Linked DNA regions of Oreochromis niloticus. The protein of the gene in region 1 binds, or shares a complex with, the protein of each later gene. Links are inferred from orthologs where the notes say so. Each region holds a gene or a part of one and is shown on either strand. Other genes may lie near its edges.

Region 1 (3,754 bases):
AGGGTGCAAGATAAATTATAACTCAGTTGTGGCCACAGGCATAAAAAATAGTCAGCTTTGTTGCAATAACAATGGAGGTAAAGTGCTGCAAACAGTCATTTTTTAACTCCTGGATTGTTTTCCTCTTTTAAATTAATCCCTGAAAAACTAAAAGGCCACAGAATGTGTTTAAGCACAGCAGATGCCAAGATGTTTATCGCTACTGTTGTTATGTTTTGGGTAACATTTTCTCCATACTGAATTAAAGAATCGCGATCAGAATATTTCATTACCCCAGGTGGAAATGGTTTTGTTACAGACATTCACTTAAAGTGTTATATTAAATTAAAGTTAAATACTCCAAAGTTAAAACAATGAATCATACAGTATAGACAAGATATTACAAGTGTAAATAATACAGGTGTCATAAGGAGGTGCCCTAAAGTTTGATGGTCACAGGTAGGAATGACTTCCTGTGGTGTTCTGTGGTGCGTTATGGTTGAACCTGTTCCTGTGATTCCCCACGACAAGATGAAGATGGTACAAAGTCCAGTCTAATATTCACTGTAACTCAGAAAGGATCCTCCTTTCTAAAGCGTCTGTCACAGAGTCAGTTCTGGACCCACAATATCACTGGCCTTTTAAATCGGTTTATCGAGTCTGTTGTTATCTGCACCCCAGCACGCCACAGCACAGAGGATGGCACCGGCAATGAGGGGATCATAAAACATCCTCTGTAGCTTGTTTGTTTTGACATATATGTAATGCCATTAAAAGGTAGGCAGCGCTTTTCTTTCAGTTTGATGCTGTTTTTCTTACTAATTACTTGAGTCATTCACACTGAATAACGTATAAAGGCAGTATCTTAAGTATGAGAAGCAGGAGTTTAAAACAACCACTAAGTGGCGATGCTGAGCCAATAATCTCGTCCCAAAATAACAAGAAGTCCAATGATTTAAAATAAATAAATAAATAAATTACACAAAACACACTCAAAAACAAAGTAAAGTAATCATATCCTGTTTTGCTTTTTATTTTTTAATCAGAACTGAAGAACAGAAGAAGTAAAATAAAAGACTTTAATTTGTCTATGTAAAACAAAAAACTTATTTGTGACACATAAATTTAGATTTGGTGTATATTAGGCGATAGCATATTGGTTATATGAACCCAATTTACAAATAGACTAGCAGTTTTATATGAAAGTTTATTTAACTCCCATTTTTAATGAACTATCATGCAGTGGGATCTGTGAGCTAGAAATAATTATGTTGATATATATTTTTATGGCTTGTCCTGTTTAGCGTTTCAGTAGTTAATAAGAATATTGATGTGACAGTTAGTATAAATCCTGAGTAGTACTATAGTAAAATAGCATAAAGGTGAGACCAAACGTTTGCACAAACAAAAATTACTGCGTGATCTTTTTTCTTTTATATTTTTTCTTTTATAGTTTATTAAAAATGTGTAAATTGATGTGATTTTGTGGTGGATTAAAAAAGCCATTTAATAGAAGTTATATTTCGAAAATTTTTGTCATCAGTATTTTCTAATCGTGCTTTTATTCATCATAAATCATCGTTTTGTTGTACGTATGTAATGACGTCATGCAGGCTTCGCAGTCAATACCGGAAAAATCGAACTAGAAACGGAAGTGCAGCATGAGGAAAATTGTGTGTGAAGTTTACTTGTGTTGTCTCTGAAGGAACGACAAAAAAAACAGTGATTCGGTGGAGGGCGCATTCTGTTTTACATCTACAGCATATAGTTAGTCCTCTTGGACTAACCCTCTTCTTTCTCTGAGTGAGAACAGGAACAAAGTGTCAGGTAAAGTTGAATTAATCGGGATGCTAACGCTAGGTTAACTACCAAGCTTCTGGTACAGTGTTTCGCCACGTTTGTTTATGTATCTTGGTTTCCCCATAATACTCAGTAACGTTCGCTTCTGAACATAACCTTAGTTGTAGTTACTATGGAATTTACATGATCACAAAGTCAACTTAAACCCGTCTGTAATCGGATTTGAAAATAAACTAGCTATTGTTAGCTAGCTTTATATTTATGGTTCTGGGGCCAGTGACTGTTTTCCCTCTAACGCCATTTAATTCTGTATTTGGCTGTCTGACTTTTCAGCTTAGTTTTTCTTAATATATCAGTTATTTTGTTGGTATCAGGAAAAACCCGTTTCGTAATGGCTTATTACAAAAAGATAAAGCAGGTGACAGCTCTTAAGTCCCTGAAGCTAAAGGCCATCAAAGGTTCTTGCTACTTACACGTATACTTACATATATTAAGAATGTGATTCCTTGAATCCATCAAAATGAGCTTTGTTGCTTTGCCTTTTGTTAAATGAATCTTCATTTTTTACATCTTTCAAACAGGATGGATCCTGCTCTACTGAGAGAAAGGGAGCTTTTTAAGAAAAGGGCACTTTCCACCCCAACTGTAGAGAAGAGACAGGCTGCGTCAGACTCTGGATCACACAAAAAGAAGAAACCCAAAGTTGACAAGGAGAGCTCCTCTAGTTCCAAACTCAGTAGCGGTAGGTGAAGAATATTTTCTTGAAAAGGATGATGTTTAGTGCTGTAAACCACTTATTCTTGTTTATTAGTGTTTTAATGTCTCTTAATGTCAGTGCGCCCCAGGGTGGCTGTGGCTACAATGTAGCTTGCCATCACCAGTGCGTGAATGTGTGTGTGAATGGGTGGATGACTGGATGTGTAAAGCACTTTGGGGTCCTTAGGGACTAGTAAAAAGTGCTATACAAATACAGGCCATTTACTATTTAATGTCTCTATAGGTTCACATCACCACTAGCCTTTTCAGCTAGTGATGCTGAAAAGGCTAGCATCTGTAGATATATGTTGGCAAGTAGGAGATGCATCGACTGACTGGCCAGGGACTGGATTCTGCAGATTTCCAGTGCTTAGCCCCGGCCAGTGACTGGCCAGTCAGTCTCCCATATAACGGATTGTATAGCGGTGTAGGCAAATATTCACATGCACTCTCACAGCCTGACATGGTGTTAGTGTGGAAGCTTCTCATTGTGAGTGAAGAGACAAAGTTCACCAAAGTACACTGTAGGGCAGGGGTGGGCAACTCCAGGCCTCGAGGGCCGGTGTCCCTGCAGGTTTTAGATGTGTCCTTGAACCAACACAGCTGATTTAAATGGCTAAATTAGCTCCTCAACATGTCCTGAAGTTCTCCAGAGGCCTGGTAACGAACTCATCATGTGATTCAGGTGTGTTGACCTACGGTGAGATCTAAAAACTGCAGGACACCGGCCCTCGGGGCCTGGAATTGCCCACCCCTGCTGTAGGGGTACCAGCGAGAAAACCTTCATAAACAAGAAATCTAATTAGACATTTAAATATGAAAAGGGAATGTGGCTAACGCTAAAGTTTCACAAAGCTCAGAGCCAGACACAAATGAGCATCCTCAGTATGGCTTAAAGCAACTATGAGGGAAAATTATGGAGACGAGTGAATAAAAAAAAAAACTAAAAACGTTTTCTATTGATTATTTGAAGATCACCTTATTTTCTGTTGTTTCAGAAAATCCTGTAACTTAATACAGTTTGGGGAAAGAAACATTAATAATTTCTTTAATGGAAAACATATTTTTAAATGAAGAAAAGTAGATTTTTGTTTATCTGTGCCATTAATCACAGTTCTTAGAAAATCAGAATCTATTCGCAGCATAAGAGGCTTATTCTGTACAATATGATTGCTCATATTTGGACACCAAAACAATTTTCATAAAGACTTGATAGTAA
Region 2 (3,472 bases), on another chromosome or scaffold:
GCCAGTCTTTGACTACTTTGATTTCACTTTGACTGTTTTTCCTTGCCTTGCTCTCATTCTTTTCAGCACAACCTCACGTTTCATTTTATAGTTATTTTTTCATTTGGACATAAAGTATAAATACAATTGACCTAAAAAGTAAATAAATAAAACCCAAGTGGGAAGAGTTGGACTTTTTCTATGAAAACATATTTAATGAATCATTTTCATAACTGGAACGCAAATATAAATTATAAACTGGTAAACTCAGTATGAACAGGAGCTTTTTTTTTTTGGCAAATATTTTTATTAATAAAAAGAAAACAACACAGTACTTGCACTTACCGAAATACAATTAACCTTTCTTCATTTTCCTAACTAAATATACTTATATATGAAAAAAACTGAACCGGAGCTTTAAGCTTTGAGGTAATCAGGTCACTGCACAGCAGGTTTGTGATGTAGATGAAGAAAAAGCTGTTTTTGTAAGGGTGATAATGATCAGAGTATTTCTTCTCTCTATTATTGTTTGCAAACAAATAATTTGTGCTAAGTTCTGTCTAATGATCTGTTAAAACAAACACAGGAAAATGTTGACCAGCACTTTAAACTTCAATCAGCTGCAAGCAGCCACCGCCTGAGCTACAGGTATGTCACACACACTCATCAGGATATGGCATCACAGGCTTTATTTAAAAAAAACAGAAGACAAACAGAGGACAGGTAACTGGAAGTGACATCACGATGGGGCGGGGTCACTCTATGCCTTCCTGTTTGTCTTTGATGGCGACTCTGAAGCGTTCCTCCAGCAGTGACAGCTCGCTGATCAGGTCAGTGATAGCGTTCGTGAACGCTTCCTGTCAGGAACAACATCATTTCCTGTCATTTAATTTCACTTCCTGTAACTAAGAGCTGTAATCAGAAGTGTGTTCCAGGAAACAGGTTTAGTTTAACCCTGAGATGAGGGAAACTTGGGTTTTCTGTTCCAGAAGGTCAGTTACCATGGTAACACTCTTATTATAATCAATCACTCTGATGGATAAATGGATCTTATTTGAGTGACGTTCAGGCTGAGATGGCTTTAAAACTAAAGCTGAACTAAATGTGTTTAAAGTCACTGCAGACAGTCTGATTGTAATCTGATTACATTTCACATTGAAATGTAATCAGATTGAGGTTCGGTCATTTAAAGTCAAACAGCCTGGGCAGATTTTCCACTGAACATCACCTGAATCAGCCTCTGCGGGTCGACCCAGAACCAGATCAGCCAGAACATGGGCTCCATGACGGATCAGCAAACCGAGTCCACTTGCACGGCAGGACGGATCCAAAATGGATTTTCGATCACGGATTCAGATCGGCTCAATCCCAGATCCAGGTCTGCTCGGTCATTTCCCAGCTGATCCCGTCTGGATCCGTTTGCAGCTCTGCTCTGATCTCTATTCCTGATTTAAAATGTGTCATTCTTCCAAAACTATCCTGAAATATCCTGATCCTGTAGAAGCTGAGACGTCTGTAATAGGTACGCATGCACATAACTCAGTGGGAACACACTCAGAGCTGAATGAACTAACTGATCACCCTTCTGGAACAGGAAACTCAGAGTCTGATGAACATACTTCCTGGAATATCCCACAGGTGTGTGCGTGTTACCTGTGGGCTGTAGTCAGGTGTGGTCTGCACTCTGATGACGATCTTGTGCTCCAGAGGATGAGGAACTTTATAACCAGCAAACAGAACCTGAGGGTCCTTCAGCAGCTGACTGACCACACACACACACAGAGAAAGTCATTTGATTGGTGGACAGACTGTAAGGATGAGCAGTTTAGTGTGAATGGTGTGTGTGCAGCTCACATGACAGTCTGACGGAAGAATATTTGAGGATCAGTTCATTAACTTTGCTGATTTTATGATCAGGCACTGGGACAGCCACCTGTGGTGGCTTACACTAAGACCTGTTTCCCATCAGCAGCATGTCATGATTTATTAAAAAACAAAAAGCAAGTAGAGATCAAATATTCCAAGACTATGTTCTGGTTTTCTGTAAAACACCTCCTACGCTACCTGTAAGATTGAAACACCTGCAGGCTGCGTGTTAGCATCTATCTCTGAGCCGCTGCTCAGCATTTGTGTGGCTGTTAGCCTCAACTTAGCCAGCTGTGAAGCCGGGTCTGGGACCCTTACGCTCGGATGACTTTAGCGGGCTGTTGTTAGCCTGAGGTTAGCCTGTTGTTAGCCTGGATGTAGCGGTGTGATGCCTTTGCGGCCGTGTCTCGGGGCCTTACGCTCGGATGATGTTGCCCAGCGTGTGGTCCTCCTTGTTCAGGGTGAACAGGCAGGCGTTCGGGACTTTGGTGTCCTTGCTGATGCTGATCTTTTTCTCCCCTTCGAACAGCAGGAACGACTCGAAAGCGGGAGGCGCGTTCATCTTACCTGTTCACTGCTGCTGCGGCTGCTTCTTCTTCTTCTTCTTCTGTATAGGGTTTATTGGCGGTTGGCAAACAACTGAATGGTGCATTACCGCCTCCAACTGGTGTGGAGTGGGGACTGGAACGTCGCTCAAAAAACCCCCCAAACCCCTCAAATGCTCCCAAGCAATTTACTCTCTTTTAAAAACTGGGATAAGGCCTGATAACTTTCACTTCTCGAGTCCTTTTGCAGAAAATCAATAAGAACTAGTTTCATTTTCATATTGCTGAGGTTTTGGGTCAGTTGTCTTCTCTCCACCTGATACTTCTGACAGTCTAATATAACATGTTCTATCGTTTCCTCTTCTCCACAGTCGTCACAATTCCCTGTATTATGTTTCCCTATCATGACTAGTGTAGTGTTCAAACCAGTATGTTCTAATCTTATTCTCGATATGGCCACCTCCTCTTTCCTACTCCTTTCTGTGCTCCTCATTTCTCCTACCCTCCTTTGGATTTTATCCAACCACCGTCCCCTCTTTTCCTCCTCCCACTGTTTTTGCCATCTTTTTTTTGTTTCTTGCCTTACCATACTCTTTACCTCTGTCTGACAGAAGCTAATACCCAGGTCAACTACCCCATGTTTTGTGGCTTCCTTTGCAGCTCTATCTGCCATTTCATTTGCTCTGACTTCACAGTGAGCTGGAATCCATAAAAACACACCTGTAAGTCTCGTCATGTGTATTCTGTGAAGTGTTGCTGAATCTCTGCTAGGACATGTGCTCTGCTTTCTGAGCAGCTACTCTGTAAACTGACCAATGACGAGCCTGAGTCTGAACAAATAACTGCTTTTAACGGTTTCATGTCTTCTGCCCATTGAACAGCTAACAGTATTCAAGAGCAGCCTGTGAGGTCCTGCACACTGTAACCAGCAGACTCCAAACACAGCACCCTCAGGCCCTTTTCCTGATCTGTGGGGACTTTAATCACATCTCCCTGTCCTCCACTCTCCCCACCTTCATCCAGTATGTTACCTGCCATACCAGAGACAATAAAACATTGGACTTATTGTATGCCAACACCAA

Evidence for each region. Proteins that work in one complex are often made in the same cells at the same time.
Region 2: gtf2e2 (region 1) and polr2j share a complex: the UniProt entries of both Homo sapiens proteins name them as parts of the TBP-based Pol II pre-initiation complex. The link is inferred for Oreochromis niloticus from reciprocal best matches to the Homo sapiens genes GTF2E2 and POLR2J.

The regions. Positions count from the first base shown.
Region 1 is NC_031971.2:23,287,341-23,291,094, reverse strand, and holds the start of gtf2e2 (transcription initiation factor IIE subunit beta), read left to right. Parts: upstream 1-1,606; 5' UTR 1,607-1,806; intron 1,807-2,072; exon of another isoform or gene 2,073-2,237; intron 2,238-2,360; 5' UTR 2,361-2,361; coding exon 2,362-2,521; intron 2,522-3,754. UniProt on the Homo sapiens protein: Recruits TFIIH to the initiation complex and stimulates the RNA polymerase II C-terminal domain kinase and DNA-dependent ATPase activities of TFIIH. Both TFIIH and TFIIE are required for promoter clearance by RNA polymerase.
Region 2 is NC_031970.2:1,176,761-1,180,232, reverse strand, and holds polr2j (DNA-directed RNA polymerase II subunit RPB11-a), read right to left. Parts: upstream 2,464-3,472; 5' UTR 2,408-2,463; coding exon 2,265-2,407; intron 1,742-2,264; coding exon 1,633-1,741; intron 837-1,632; coding exon 735-836; 3' UTR 652-734; downstream 1-651. UniProt on the Homo sapiens protein: Core component of RNA polymerase II (Pol II), a DNA-dependent RNA polymerase which synthesizes mRNA precursors and many functional non-coding RNAs using the four ribonucleoside triphosphates as substrates.